Linked DNA regions of Rhinolophus ferrumequinum. The protein of the gene in region 2 binds, or shares a complex with, the protein of the main gene of each other region. Links are inferred from orthologs where the notes say so. Each region holds a gene or a part of one and is shown on either strand. Other genes may lie near its edges.

Region 1 (7,662 bases), on a different chromosome or scaffold from region 2:
CAGCATAAGGAAGGACCTCTTGAGATGACTAGGTACAGAAATCTTTGCATTGAAAGAGATATTCACTATCATTTTGGCAAATATGCTCATACAGATAAGCAATCAGGAGACCAGAGAAGTTAAGCAATTTGACCAAGGTCACAATTATATCCTGACAACTCTAGAGTACAACTTGGACTTCCTTAATGTCAGGCCGCATTCTTTCCCTATCCTATACTGCTTCTCCTAGTATCTGATAGATTTTTTAGCATAGACTAAATATATTCTGTGGTTAACAACTAATTTTGTTGGCAAAGTTTTGGTGAATGTAGTAATGTATACAGCGTTGTGATGGTATCAAAGACTCTAGCTGTATGTATCTTTAAAAAGTTTGAACTTTAAGCCCCTTGCCTACTTTTAGAAATTCATCCTAAGGAAATACGGTTGACCCTTGAACAAGACAGGTTTAAACTGCGTAGGTCCACTTATTCGTGGATTTTTTTCAATATACTGGAAAATCTTTTGGAGATTTCCTTATTACCATGAAGCGATCATATCCATTATACTAGGCTACCCAAAGCAATTATATTGCTGCTTCTTCGTTATCAATGGATCGTTATACCTGTAAATAAATATGAATTTCTTTTTCACATTATCTTTTCATTTTTGATGTCTAGCATTAGTAATATGTATAACATTTACAGTGTTTTGTATCATATAAGACAATATTGATGTAGGTTACTGACAGACAATTCATTTTATAAACAGATGACATACGATTATGATATCAATAAATACAGTACTGTAAATGTATTTTCTTTACCTTATGATTTTCTTAATAACATTTTTTCTCTAGCTTACGTTATTGTAAGAATACAGTATATAATACATATAACATACAAAATATGTGTTAATCAACTGTCCATGTCATCAGTAAGGCTTCCAGTCAAAAGTACACTATTACTAGTTAAGTTTTTGGAGAGTCAAAAGTTATACGTGGATTTTTGACTACGTGGGGGTCAGCACCCCTAACCCCTGTGTTGTTCAAGGGTCAACTGTAATATAAAAGGTTATATGCAAAAAGATGTCCACTGCTATATTCTTTGGAATACTGAAAAACTGGAAATAATTTATATGCCCAACAACAGAAGTGTAGTTAAATATGGTAGATCCATGAATTTTGAAACCATTAAAAAATTATAAAACCACAAAGACATATGGAAAATATTTTATTCTTCATCTCATTCCAAAAGGAGGTAATTTAACAAGAGAATGATAATAATTGTATTTTTATCATATAACCAATAAGAAATATAATATTTATATGGATAAAATCCAAAAGATAAAATGGAAAAATTATTTACATCTTAGAAATACTGGAATTGGGAATGCCCTTTTCTTTCACTTTGAGTTTTCTTTATAATAAAGAGGTGCAATGAAGAATTGTTTAGAATGAACTCCTTTGTTTACTTTAATGGTACTGAGAAGACTTTAAATGACCCAGATGACCTTGGATGCATCATGGTAACACGTATAATCAAATGAAAGACATAAGGTCATATAATGAACTTTCTGAGAGTGACAATGATGTATATCAGTCTTGACCTTCAGAACTTATGAGCTGGTAGAGGAAATATGACATACACATGGATCTTGGCACTGTTCCACTTGCAAAATCTTTAACATCTCATTTCATACCAGTGCCTTTTCCCTCCCAGCTTTCATGCCACCTGTTCCTTAACATCATCAGGACTGCCAGCCTACTGGTCCCTGTGTTTTCTTTTCATTCACCAGCTTGGTTTCATTTTCCTTGCCATTAGGCTTAAACACTAAAGCCTATTCCTTTAGTCACCTCCTCCACAAGAACCACAGTATCTCAAACCTTTACCTTTCCGATTCACCTGCCCTGAAAACCCCCGTTTGCTGGACACAGTCAATCATTTGCCATCTCACATCCTGGGTTGCAGGAATCCCTAGACAAAGCCATCCAACATCCTTTCATGTAACCCTGGCCAGTTCTTTCTCCCTCTCCTCAAAGCCTTCCTGGCCAGTTCTTTCTCCCTCTCCTCGAAGCCTTCCCTGCATCTCACACTTTCCCTTCCGCCCCCTTCCCCAATTTTTACTGCATAGAAATTCTTAAATGAAAACTTTCTCTCCTTAAGCGGAGCCCAAAGTCCCGGTGCTTTCTGCATCCAACCTTACTCCCTGCTCTCCAGTTTCAGAGGTGAAGTGACTCTGCACCTGTTCTCTGGACCCAGCACCTTTTGCCTGTTCCTGCCTTTGTACCATCCATGAATATGTCACGCCTGTCTTCAACCTTGCCTGAACTATTATCATCTTCCCTCAGAATAAACACTTGTTTGCCCTCTATAAAGAAGCCTTTCCTTTTGGATACATACTCTTCTAAATGATTTCTACTTGCCTTTCTCCTTCCCTTACCACACATTTCTAAAAAGAGATATCCTATCTTGGCTTCTCTACTTCCTCTCTCCCTCACGTGATAGAGCCTGACTCTTCCCACCCCTCCACCCAAACTGTTCACACATAAGTCAAATTCAGTGCTCCTTTTCATTTCTTATCTCACCTGAACCTTCAGCTGTTTCACCCTGTTGACTATTCCCTGTCTTGATTTTCTCTTTTGGCCTTTGGGACCCTCTGATTGTTACCTTACTTAGCAGGATGAATAAACTTCAGGTCATCCAGGGAGGTGAGAGCTGGAAAGGCTCTCCGTTCAAGAGAACTTGCATTTTTAAGGGAGTGTTGTGTCATGGCAGTTGTTAAGACGTAAGATTCACTATATTAAGTTTTGAGAACTGAATTCCTTCCTCGAGACTAGTTCTGTGGACTCTATGTCAGGCTGACTAATGATTCAATGATTTGTAGTGAGTGGAACTCAACCATAATGATACAGAGAACTGTTTATTCTTTCATCTTATTGAAAAAAAAAGGTGTAGTGGAAACTGGAGCATGCTATAGGAACTTGTTGGCATTTCCTCTCTTGGGATATGACTAGAAGTGAGGGAAGTGGAATTCAAGTCATCTAGGTCTCCCTCAGTAATTTCTAATAGTTAAAGCATCCAAACTGCATTCATTCCACTCAGCGTGATAGAATGAATTTTTCATTATTAAAACAGTATTACCCTTTAATTTTAGTAACTTTCTTGTAAGGTATACAATTTGGTACTTGATTGCATGCTGTCTATTGGCTATTTTGATTTTTTCTTACTCCTAAGTAATATGTCTCCTATCAGACTGCAAATGTGTTGAGGTCAAAGGTCAATTTTAGTCTTATTCTCTTCTATTTTCTCTATTGCTTAGCAGCTTAGCATAGGACGGAACACTTGGAAGATGCTAAAAAAAATTCCTGCCATTTAATTTAGCAAGTATTTTAACTTTCCAAATTTCAAGGGGATTTGAATGACTCCTGAATACAGTATATTACTCTGGGCACAGAAATATAATATAAAAAGATATTTAAGCTATTTGCATTTTATGAGCTGTAGGCGAGACAAGAACACCTCAATAATACCTAGGGAGGATTTAGCACAAAGTTGAAACTTTTAGCACAAAGTTGTATATTGTACCAACCTAGATATAAAAGCCAGAAGCTCAAGCGATGTTCAGAGCTAATTTACAATAAGTTCTGTAAATCCTTGTAGTTCACCTCCTTAAGGACATTGCCAATGTCCTTCCTGTGGAGAGCACCTAGATCTTTTGGGACCCTGGATCAGGCCTTTCTGCAAATAATCAGGCAAATACAAAGGAAAAGAAATCACATATAATCCAGTGTATTTTTCTCCTTGTGTGGTTTGGTTTCTCCACCAGCTAGAGATATATTAATATATAAAGGCTCTCACTCTCTTGCAGTCTAATCCTCTTTTTTAAGTCATTTTATTTTTAGAGAACTTTCCAATCTTTTTCAGTTATACAGACAGATTGGGGCACCTGGCCGGAAAATAATTTTTCCTTTACAAAATATGCTAGAATGTGAATGCAGGCATTGAATTTGAAACAGATTTACCCTAGTGTAATCCCCTGGACATTACCATTTGTGGCTGCAAATTGACTGAATGGTGGTCCATAAGTTAACCTACAAAGGCAAGAGGATCTAGTCACTTTTTTCTCCCAGGTAAAATAGGATTAATAACCTAAAATCTTCACGTTTCCAGGACCCACGGTGCAATCCCTCAGTGGAACTCTGTGCTGGAGGCTGCAGCACCTTTGGTTTCGGGGAAAGACTGGCCCAGGCACTCTAGTCACTTGGAAGAGGAAGGGAAGGTGGTACCTGAGTAAGGTATGAGCCACTCACAGGCAGCCTCGAGCCGCCACTCACCTCGAGGAGGAGGAGCTGGCGCCCAGACCTAAAGGAAACGCGAGCCTCGGGTCCACCAGGTGTGGAAAGGAACGCCCGCCTGGCTCACCTCGGGAGGCTGGGCGAGGCTCCCGATTACCAGGCGGGGCGGAGCCGGCCCGGATCACCTAGACCGAGGCGGAACTGTGTGGGGTCTGGTCACTGCTCGTAGAACCTGGAAGTCAGGCTCACCTGTGCGGGGCCGGAGACGGGGCCAGGACCACAACTCACCTGAGCCCGCGGAAACCCGACCCGAGAGTAGCCCCCGGACTCGCCCAGCGCGAGGCGGGAGGCGCCCCCGGCGGGCCCCACACCTTCCGTCCGTCCGTCCCGGCGCGGTCGCCATGACCTGGAGTGCCACGACCCCGGGCGCCCACCAGCCCGACAACACCGCGTTCACTCAGCAGCGCCTCCCCGCCTGGCAGCCGCTGCTGTCGGCCGGCATCACGCTGCCGCTGTTCTTCTGCGTGGGCCTCGCCTTCATCGGCCTGGGCCTGGGCCTCTTCTACTCCTCCAATGGCATCAAGGAGCTGGACTACGACTACACGGGCGACGCCGGCACCGGCAACTGCTCGCTGTGCGCCCTGGCCGACCAGGACCGCGCGCCGCCGCGCAACTGTTCGTGCGCCTGGTACTTCTCGCTGCCCGAGCTCTTCCAGGGCCCCGTGTACCTCTACTACGAGCTCACCAACTTTTACCAGAACAACCGGCGCTACGGCGTGTCCCGCGACGACTCGCAGCTCAGCGGGCTGCCCAGCTCCCTGCGCCACCCAGTCAATGAGTGCGCCCCCTACCAGTACAGCGCGGCCGGCCGGCCCATCGCGCCCTGCGGCGCCATCGCCAACAGCCTTTTCAACGACTCCTTCACGCTGTGGCACCAGCGCCCGGCTGGCGGGCCTTACGTCGAGGTGCCGCTCGACCGCACCGGCATCGCCTGGTGGACCGACTACCACGTCAAATTCCACAACCCGCCGCTGGTGAACGGCAGCCTGGCACTGGCCTTCCGCGGCACCGCGCAGCCGCCCAACTGGCCCCAGCCGGTCTACAAGCTCAGCTCCGACCCCAACAACACCGGCTTCATCAACCAGGACTTCGTGGTGTGGATGCGCACGGCGGCGCTGCCCACGTTCCGCAAGCTGTACGCGCGCATCCGCCAGGGCAACTACTCCACCGGGCTGCCCCGCGGCGCCTACCGGGTCAACATCACCTACAACTACCCGGTGCGCGCCTTCGGCGGCCACAAGCGCATTATCTTCACCAGCATCTCGTGGATGGGCGGCAAGAACCCCTTCCTGGGCATCGCCTACCTGGTGGTCGGCTCCCTCTGCATCCTCACGGGCTTTGTCATGCTGGTGGTCTACATTCGCTACCAGGACCAGAACGACGAGGACGAGGACGAGGAGTGATTCCTGCTTTCAAGGCATCCTTCCTCCATGCCTAAACGCTCCTGCAAGCTACTCTGGCTACTCTCCCTCGCCCCTCACCCCATTCCAACCTCACCTCGCTTTCCCTCCTGTTGTGGGTGAGGGGACCAGAGAGAGGGATGATACCCAATTGGGGGCTACCAGACTCTTGCTGGGGAGCTTGGGCTGCAGAGTGACACAACCTTGCAAATTCTCCCCACCTCCGTCGTGATTTACCTAGTTGACAGGTTAGGTTATTAAAGTCCTTAGCATTCGAGAACTGGAAGGGGCAGTGGAGACTCCTATTTAACTCTTATCTGATGAAGAGATTGAAACCTACCGGTAGAGATATTAAATAACTCATTCAACATCAGGCAACTCATCGTTGGCTTCTGACTGACTCTAGAGCTTTTACTACTACACGATAGTGGGTTGTTTTCTTTTCTTTTTTTCTTTTTCTTTTTTTGGTTGTGGTGGTGAGGGCGGGTAGAGAGTGGAGCCTACAAATCACCTGCAGAGGTATGGAGGGGTGGGGCAGGACATTCTTGTTTAAAATGTAGATAGATTAGGAGACACCATCCCCCGAGATTCTGACACAGTAAGGCTGGTTTGAGACCCTTGAAGCTGCGTTTTAACAAGCCCATCTGGAGATTCCTCCTATATTCCTTCAAATTTGGAGGAATTTCACTGCCCTGTACCAGTGAAGAAGTAGAATACTGGATTTTTCCCTGTTTCCTCCTATGTCTGAGGTTGGGCCTGAAGCAATCACCTCAGTCCAGTTTTTCAGGTAGTCATTTGTTCCCAGGGTCAGTGACAATGCTGCAGGTTTGATCCAGCGCATTCTACCTTGAACATGGGAGGGAATGTTTTAACCTTAGAATTAAATAGCTGGAAGGGATCTTAGAGTGAAAGTGCTTTCCCTACGTCAGACCTGTCTCCTGACTCCTGACCTAGTCCTCTGTCATCTAAATTCGTTTCTATGCTTAGAGAGAAAGGACTACATTCATACCTTTTTCTTAGGTCTAGAAAAAGCTTTTTAATCTATGTTCTCAAGTGAAGAATGTTTGTTTTTAGTAATTACGTTTAAATGCATGCTAAGGAGTAGTCTTATATGTAAAGTAGAACTTAAGAATCATTTGAACATTTGAGATAATGTTAACTAACTACTCTAAAATCATTCTAATATATACAAAGTTACTCTAAGAAGTAATAGAATTTTTAAAAAAAATCTTTTATGGCTAAGGAACTTTAAAAAAATCCTTAGTGATACCATCTTAACCAGTTGATTTGCTGAAAGCAAACAGTTCTATGGTATTCTGTCAGACAGAATTACAGCTACTTTCTAGTTACTACTGTTTTTTGCTCAGGACTGTAAGGCAGTGCAAGACCTTGAAGTATTTTTGTAATAATCAAAGAAATACTGAATTGTATTGAGTAATTTACATTTATTTTAGTCTACTCTAGTTCTTTGAAAATTAATGATCGATGGATGGCGTGCATGTTCATTATACCTGATCTATCTTCTGGAATGTTGTAATTTAAGAGGTTCTGTTCCACTATTTACATAAACTAAAAAATATTTTAGCATTTCCAATATGTTGGCTTCCTAACTCCTGAAGGTGACACAATTTTATTATCAGATTGCATACCGTGATTTTAGGCTAGCATTATATGTACATAGAGTAATTTTTATTTATTATGAATGATCAAGCAGCTCACTAGCCTAAACCTCCTTTATGTTACATAAGAGAATTTATTACAATTTTTTCCTATGTAGTAAAGAGCAACCATGTATTTTGCTGTCACTTGTACAATATTCAGTCTATTGCTATAAAATTTTAAGTGTACTACAAAATTTAAGATATTCTGATTGAATCAATGAGTAAATTTCCAGGCCCTATGCTCTGGGTTTTTGAAAGAGAATAAAGG
Region 2 (8,290 bases):
GTGTGTTATTAAAATTCTTTTTGCAGCAAATTAATTTTTCTTATCTTAATAAGGTAACAAAACACCTACAGACATGAATACAATTAATTTAACTGAATGATGCCAACAACCAGACCTGAAAAATCACAAGATACCTAAAGACATCGCAAAGAAAAACTTCCTAAGAAATTAATCTAGACGCAAATATAGAAGCAAATTCTAAAATTAAGTCCTAAGAAACCTAAACATCACCTCTCTGTAGAGATATGGGTCATGAATGGGCCCCATAAAACTCGTTCTACTACCTAAAAAGCAAATTCATCTGCATTCATAAGAGCATAGGCTTGGGCGGCTGGGCGGCTCAGTTGGTTAAAGTGCAAGTTCTGAACAACAGGGCTGCTAGTTTGATTTCCACATGGGCCAGTGAGCTGCGCCCTCCACAACTAGATTGAAGGACAACGACTTGGAGCTGATGGGCCCTGGAGAAACACACTGTTCCCCAATAAAAAAAAAAAAAAAGTCTTTAATCCTTTGGGAAAAAAAGAGCATAGGCTTCTTTTACAATGATTGAAACTAAAGAGAAAAGGTGACTAATAGATTAAAATCTCTCTGGAATGGGTTATAACGGTCACCAGGATTCCATGAGTGCTGTTTATGAAAAACAAAATGGAATTGAGATTAGTAAGGCAATACACTATTTAAAATATACCAACTACCTAGACATCATACTAATTTTAAAAATGTCAGTTTAAGAAAGAAAACAAGAAAACATATGGATCAGGCACCTGTTCTCTCATTTAATTCTCTCAACCCAAGCAGGCTAATAATTATCTTTTTTTCCCCAGCAAATGAGTAAACTGAGGTTCAGAAATTTTAGGAATTCATCTGAGGTTATACAATTTAAAGAGTAAATAAATATAATAAAAATAAATTGTAAAAATTAAATACAATTTAAGTAAAGGAAATGAAATCTGTGGGAATCTAAATCCATGTTTTCCACTGCTCCTTGCTTTCAAAGGAAGACAGAAGGAAAGAAGGAAGAAAGGAAGGAAGGAAAGAAGGAAGAAAGGAAAGAAGGAAGGAAGAAGGGAATACAGACAGACAGGGAAAGAAACATTTTACAGTCAGATCTGCTCAGTGTCATTAGTGCTAAGATCACAGAGGCTGAAATCCAGATGAAACATGGAACTAGTCCTGAACTTGACTTACACCTGCAGCTTCTTTTCGTTAAGCCATTTGCTTTACCAATCCATTATTTTTAAAGCGTCAGTTATAAAAACTAAAAACAAAACACCGCCCAGTTCTATCACTAACAAGTAGTAAGTGCACACTTGCATGCATTTTCCTTAAAACAAAAACCAGAAGGAAAGCTTGAAAGTAGCCAGAGCTGCTCTCACACAGATGGTTATTTGTGTTCACTAGCATTATCCATATGGGTCTTGTTTGGCCCTCAATAGCAGACATGAAAAATCACTAAAAGTTACCAGAGCACCGGCCACTAGAAAATGGCAAGTGAAAAAAGCTGTTAAGGTTTCTTACCAATTATAAAATTAGGAGGCCTTCACTACATAATGAAAACCATTAAGAGAATTCAGAGGGGTAATTGCAGGCAGACTGACTTCTCCCCAGACAGTAATCAGCTAATAACTATTAATCATCTTTTGCACAGTACATGCATTTATAATAATTTTTCTTTTGTTTTTTGTTTGTTTTTAGGCTTGCAAAAATAGGCCAGAATTAATCAATGGCGTTTTAGGTCTAACACAAAAGTACTCCTGAGACGATGAAAATCAGAACTTCTATTTCACGTTTTGTGTTGTTTCCTCTTTTTATATGCACTTGTATTTACTATCACTGCAGACTTTTTATCACACATCATTTTTCAGTTTCTGTTCCTAGAAGCAGTTAACCTTGGTCCCTAACCTACTGTTTGGCGGGTGAAGTTCAAGCACTTCGCCTACGTTGTCTCCTTTAATTCTCAAGGAGTGGAGAAAGACATTTGAAGGCAATGCAACGTGGAAGATGGGACGGACTCTCTTCTCAAGCCAACAGGGCGGACGGGTTTCCGGGAGGGGAACTCCGCGGCGTCCGGAGCTACCCAAGCAGGACTTGGCGCCCGCCAGAGGCTGCCCCGGCAGGCCGAAAGGGTCGGCTGAGGTTGAGGGGGCGTCACTGGACGGAAATGTGGCCCGGGTCCCCCCTACTTGCGCATGTCCACCCCGCTCTCCCGTTCTGCATCCTCGTCCTACCTCTACAGCTGTCACGATTCTACGTTCCGAGGCTCCCCCCGTGGGGACCAGGCGCTCACACCTCCTGGGAGAAGTTGCGCGGACAGTTCTAGCTTTTCTTTCACTTGGGGAGGGATGGGGACGTGAGAGGTTAGAACACTTGCCATTCTCTGCAACACCACCCACGCCCTACAAGTCGCGATTCAGCACGCATAAACCGAGGAGACAACCCTGGCCATCAAACTGGGAAGGGACGGAGATGGGCTGTAGCAGTCAGTACGATGGGAGCTGGCAGACACGACCCTACAATCACCAAAGTAACCCTTTTCCCCACCACCTCCCAACCTGCGTAAAAGCGCACAGAAGATGTCCAATGGTGCCTGGTCCCGGTGGAGGCGATCTCACGCTCCATCCTTACCCGCAGGTGCGGTCAGGTACATTTGGCCCTAAGGTCTTTTTCGGACGCGTTGGCATCGGCTCCCAAAGGGGGTTCCGGCAGAGCCCGGCCACTGGCGACTTCCAGAGGGGCAGCAGAACACTTTATGGGAAGCCAACGGCCCTTCCCGAGAACCCGCAAGCCCCGCCAGGCTTGACCCTCGAAGCTGAACCCTGGTCATGTGTGTAAGCAAACGAGCGAAGAACCCAAACACCTCCCTCGAGTTCCGTCTCCTCCCAGCAGGTGGTAAAACCCCATGGACCGCTCCACAGTGCTGCTTGCCGGGTCAGCTGTGCTTCCCCATCCCCGAGGCCGCGAAGGCTCCAGGCACCCCCACCCAAATCCCACCCGTGCGGACTCAGGAGCCCGAGGGCGCGGACAGCTGCTGCCACCGCATCCCGGATCCCCAGAGTTCGCTGACACAGGGGCAGTCAGAGGACCCTCCCGGCCGATGAGGAGGGGAAGGTCGGGGGACACTGGCGCCGCGCCCCTGCTTACCTGGCGCTCTCTGGGCCCCGGCTGGGGCATCCGCCGGGTGCGCGCCTCTCCGCGCGCTCGCTGCGCACCTGGCCGCCGCCGCCGCCCGCCCGCCAGCCCGCCCGGCCCCAGCTCTGGCCGCGGCGCTAGCGCTTCATGGCTCACGGGGGCTGGCCCGGGGCTCCGGGAAGCTAGTCCAGTTGGCGGCGGCTCCTCGGGCTCTCGCAACTCGCCAATGGCTCCTCGCCTTTCCCCGCCCCGCGTCCGCGCGCCCTTCCTCTGCGTCCGCCCTTTTCCCTCCGCTCCTCGGGACCGGCCAAACTGGTTTCTCCGCTCCGGGATCGTGCCTCCAGTTTCCCTTCGGCAGCCGCGGCGCACAGCAGGGGCTAGGGGCGGGCCCAGCCGTCCGCTCTCCTTTTGTCCCTCCTGGGGGCGGAGAGGGGCTGGACCGCGAGTCCACTGGGCGGATAACGCGGCCCGGATCCAGCCTCGTGCCCTCCGTGCGCCCCGGCGGCTGCTGGGCCCCCGGCCGTGGCCTCCGCCGCGTCCGTTCCGCGACCTGGCAGCTGTGGCCGCTTTCAGCTCCCCGGGTGCTCCCGCCTCCCAGGGGGCCGCGCTCGCCACCCCGCCCCACCAGACTCGCGTCACTTTCCCGCAGCCCTCGGCCGTCCTGGCCACCACCCGGGGTCGGTGACCGCGCCAGCCCGGAAAGCTGGCGGGCCACGGCTCGCCCGGGACCTGAGCTCCCTCGGTAAGGGGAGCTGTACCCTCTCGATGCCAAGTCACGTTCCCGGATAGGTCATCAAATGCGTGTCGCGGTTCGACGCGCGGAGGGTGGGGAAAGAGACACTGCCAAAAGACTTCGAGAAACTTATCCTGTAATTGCAGCAGCAGGCTTTCTGCTGAGACCAAACTCCCTCACCTTTACAGGTCAATAGGAGTCAGGGTATGGCATGTGAATGGCACGATGTGGTTGGAAAATTTGGACTCCCATGCAAGGCTGATAGATAGCTGGTGTCTGGGCATGTGAAACGATTCTCCCTGGCAGGATATATAGTACAGTACACTCCTTACACCAGAAGAATTTTACTGCTCACTAGCTATGGACAAGCCGCTGGGATACGAATGAAGGAAAGTCGAAGATGAATCACAGTCTGCTTAAAATGTAGCAGGGGAGATAGGACTTCACCTACCTGCAGATCAGAGAGGCTCAGGTCATTGCATTGAGAGCTCAGAGTTGCAAACGGGGGCTTACGGGAGACTTCAGCGAGGAGGCCATGCTTGAGGCGAGATTCAAAGACTCACACGTTTAGGAATCAGAATAGTATGAAGAAGATATTCAAAAAGTGGTTTACTGGGGCAGCCGGATGGCTAAATTTGTTAGAGTGGGAGCTATGAACCTCAGGGTTGGCAGTTCCTTTCCCACATGGGCCAGTGAGCTGCTCCCTCTACAATTAGATTGAAGGACAACGACTTGGAGCTGATGGGCCCTGGAGAGACACACTGTTCCCCAATATTCCCCAATAAAAATTTTTTAAAAAATTATTTAGTCTTTAAAAAATAAAAAAGTGGTCCACTGATTTGACCTTCAGGAATGAAGGTATATGAACGAATCAACTGATACAGTTAAACCCTAGACTGCCCTGGGTTTCTTTTTCATTAGTCACACTTGATCTTTGACTAGGTAGTGATGGTCAGTCATTTAATCTCTCAGGGCCTCAGTTTCCTCATCCGTAAAATGAGACTGCACCAGATGATCTCAAGCGGTTCCTTTCAGTGCTTCTTTTCTGAACCCAACAACAGAGCAAAGTACAAAGGCCTGAAAACACAGTCTGTTTAGCGACAATGGGGTAGACCAGTTGGCTGGCACTGCAATGGTACTACATAAGGTTAGTGAGGGAGTTGGGGCCCGGAAGTCCTGGAATGCCAGCTAAGGACTTTGGGCTTGCTCTTGGCAGCGCCTGTAAACCACTGGGAGTTTATGACCACAGCAGTGACCTGATCAAGGTTGTGTTTTAGGCACAGGAGTGGGGATAGTTTGGAATAGGGTAAGACTGAACATGGAGGTACCCTCTGGCAGGCTACCACAGCAACATAAGGTGGGCCTGAAGAAGTTGCCAGTGGACGTGCAAAGACAGAGGCGCGTCCAGGAACATCCCGAGGAGAAATGGCCGAGACGCAGAGTGGCCAGAGCCTGCAAGTGGCCGGCAGAGGGAGGCATAGGAGATGAGCAAATTCTCCCGGCTGGGTGATGGCATTAGTAGGAACAGCGGAGTCAGAAGGAGGGAGGACGCTGAGGGGGCTCTGCCCTGCCAGGAGAAATGCCAGTAAACCTAGGAATCAAGAGGCGACTCTCGACTAAAGGAAGGACCCCTTCCTTCTTCCACATCTATCAGCACGTGCTCAATCTGTCTAGGAAAACAGATCCTACGCTAGGATACATCCAAACCACACCACACCCACACCCCAATTTGATAAATACCATTCCTTCAGCTGCATTTAACACCTGGGAATAGACACTGAAGACGTCAAGTTAGATTGCTGCTCTCACAGACCACAGGGCGGGGGGAAGTGTGGGCAACGGGACACGATGGGTATTGTTTCAAAGATTCATTTATTTAAGAAATATTTGTTGAGTGCCTACTATGTGCTAGGCACTGTTCTGGTTACTTAGATAAATCAGTGAACCAATCCGGCAAATTGTATCTTAAAAGATGACAAATGCTTTGGAAAAAAATAGAACAGGACTGGTTGGCAGGAGGCCACTAAAGGAGCCATCTAGGGTGCTGTAAGAGTTCCATACCTTGATCTGGGTGGTGGTTAGATGAGAGTATGCGGAGATAAGAGTCCATTGACCTGTACACTTAAGATGTGTCCATTTAAAAAATCATAAAAATAGAGCAGGGTAAAGAGATTAGGAGTGGGAGAGTGAGCTGCAATTTTAAATAATGTGGTCAGGGTAGGCTTCATAAAGAACTGCATTTGAAAAAGACTTGCAAGGTGAGGGGGTTTCTTTCTCAGTGAAAGAAATTCTTTGAAGGCCCATCTTGCCTGGAACCCACCAGGAAAGGGCATGCTCAAGCCTTGTCCTGGTGAGTTTCCCTCACCTAAGCCTTCCGAGCCTTCCTGGTCACTGGGAAGGAAATCTTCAGAACATGTCAGCTGCTGTGCTGTTGCTGATAACGGAAGTGGCTCACCTGGAAATCCTGACCCTTGTTCTCTCTGAAAGAACTGTGCCAGATTTCAGGGTGCCTTGTCAGGTCAATCATTGAAAGTGTCTCACGCACGCAACAAAGAAACAGTCATTTCTAAAAGGGTGACAATGCTTTTCAGCTTTTGTAGTTCGTAATTTCCTCCAACTGTGTGTGTGTGTGTATGTGTGTGTTGTTTTCCTTTTCTTGGCAACACTCCCGTGTATTTCCATGATGTGGGTAGAAAAGTTGGGGAGGTTGCCAAGAGAACTAGCTCACTTTTACTGAAAATGCATTTCCTAGAATATTTTTCTACGAGATAAGAGCTAAGGGATAAAAGATATGTTTAAAGGGAGGTGATACTGCCTGTATTCAGTTCTTTGCTAAACTCAGTGGTCATTTAAGCTAAAGCATTTAATGCCAATGGAAAGGTAGTCGTGGCCCACTAGGTGTTACTGTAACCCATGCTTGGCAGTCAAGATTAACTCAGTTGGAAGCTGAATTCTTCACAGCCATTGTCTAGACCAGCTCCAGAATTGCAAACATGATACGAAGGTACCTCTTATATGAATCTGACTTTTTAATAAGTAAAATTAGCGACTTCGACTAGTTTGCCTACTTTCTTTTAAGTGGTATTTAAAATAGATACAGATGATATATTCTATCACTGCCAAATAATTTTCCAAATTCCTTACATTCGTTTCATTTCCTTTACTATTTAACGACTTCTTTTTTCTGACCAACATTTTAAATTAAAAAATTGGATTGCAAGAGTAACATTAAACGTCAGGTAATTGTGTCTGTTATTTTGGCTTAATATTTCTGAGAGGTTAGAAGAAGTATTATTTGTGAGCACATTATTAAAATTCACTTCTCTTTCTTTCATATTCATGATACGTAAATGTACAGGATTACTCTACAGTTTTCTTTTCTAAAGGATACATGAATAACCTACTATCTATCCACGGAGAATGAAATGAACATTACATTGAACTTATGTTGATAATATAACACCAGTTAAACTTAATTTACATAATTAATTTAATGAATAAATGTCCCCAATGTCCTGTGCTCATCGTTAGTATGTGTAGCCATGTTTTCGTGTAGCTGTAAGAAGTGCGTACGTATTACCTTACGCTCTATTTTCACAATTGACCATTGTGTTATGAAAACATGTCTACCTTTCTAACTTCGTCCCTCCTTCCCCACGACTGGTATGCTAAGCTCCCCGCATCCCAAACTGTGTGCAATTCACTGAATGCTGAATAGCATTTGATCCTCCCTCGGCTTGAGAAGTTGTTCTCTTCTCCCTGATCGCCAGCTCCAAAGTGACTTCCTCTGAGTCATCTTTGCCCTTCTCTCCCCCAGACAGTAGCTTCCATAGCATTTTGCACCTTACTTCTGGGGACGCCTTTACTTCATTGTTTTTTAACTGTTTGTCTCCTACCCAACGCACTGTGAGCCCTGTGAGACCCAAGATGGAGTCGTCTTCTTCTTGGTCTCACTTGGCAAAGAACATCTCCACGTGCCTATTAATTTTTGTAGAATGAATGAATGGTCTGCATCGTCACAGTCTCTCTGTGTGTGTGTGTGTGCGTGTGTGTGTGGATAGCTGTATAGTATTTTCTTCTACTGATGACTTCATCATTTGCTATTGTGGAACATTTATGCATTTTCCACATTGGTTTCCAGAAATATCTGACCAATCACAACCCACCACTATTTTAAGGGCTTCTAAACATCTATTTCTCTCTGGTTCCTATTATTTTGTGGGTTGTGATTTGATCTTCTTTACGTCATTCTAGAAACAGTGTGCCTCCGGTACAGGAAAAGGTTTTGCTTTATTAGAAGTAGGACACGTGTAAGCCTTTGTTGCTGTCACTGGAGCAATAGAAAGAATGGTATTCAAGTTCTTCCATAAAGTTATAGCAATCTATGCTGTGGATGAATACTGCCTTCTTTACTTTCCTAAACTGTCT

Evidence for each region. The genes of interacting proteins can lie anywhere in the genome.
Region 1: the proteins of ATP8B1 (region 2) and TMEM30B are in contact, whole or in part, in a cryo-EM structure (PDB 7VGH), measured with the Homo sapiens proteins. The link is inferred for Rhinolophus ferrumequinum from reciprocal best matches to the Homo sapiens genes ATP8B1 and TMEM30B. Residues at the interface, in NP_001361314.1 of Homo sapiens: Trp362, Val366, Ser369, Ser370, Trp371, Tyr372, Leu373, Tyr374, Asp375, Gly376, Phe418, Trp421, Asp422, Leu423, Tyr426, Asp431, Pro433, His939, Trp942, Arg946, Tyr968, Phe971, Asn972, Gly973, Ser975, Ala976, Gln977, Leu1003, Gln1005, Phe1049; in NP_001017970.1 of Homo sapiens: Gly9, Ala10, His11, Gln12, Pro13, Asn15, Phe18, Thr19, Gln20, Gln21, Arg22, Leu23, Pro24, Ala25, Trp26, Gln27, Pro28, Leu30, Ser31, Ala32, Ala35, Leu38, Phe39, Phe46, Leu49, Leu53, Tyr109, Tyr111, Asn116, Phe117.

Annotation. Positions count from the first base shown.
Region 1 is NC_046289.1:33,820,481-33,828,142, forward strand, and holds the start of TMEM30B (cell cycle control protein 50B), read left to right. Parts: upstream 1-4,542; 5' UTR 4,543-4,674; coding exon 4,675-5,736; 3' UTR 5,737-7,662. UniProt on the Homo sapiens protein: Accessory component of a P4-ATPase flippase complex which catalyzes the hydrolysis of ATP coupled to the transport of aminophospholipids from the outer to the inner leaflet of various membranes and ensures the maintenance of asymmetric distribution of phospholipids.
Region 2 is NC_046302.1:46,736,487-46,744,776, forward strand, and holds the start of ATP8B1 (phospholipid-transporting ATPase IC), read right to left. Parts: upstream 3,253-8,290; 5' UTR 3,142-3,252; intron 2,724-3,141; exon of another isoform or gene 2,626-2,723; intron 1-2,625. UniProt on the Homo sapiens protein: Catalytic component of a P4-ATPase flippase complex which catalyzes the hydrolysis of ATP coupled to the transport of phospholipids, in particular phosphatidylcholines (PC), from the outer to the inner leaflet of the plasma membrane.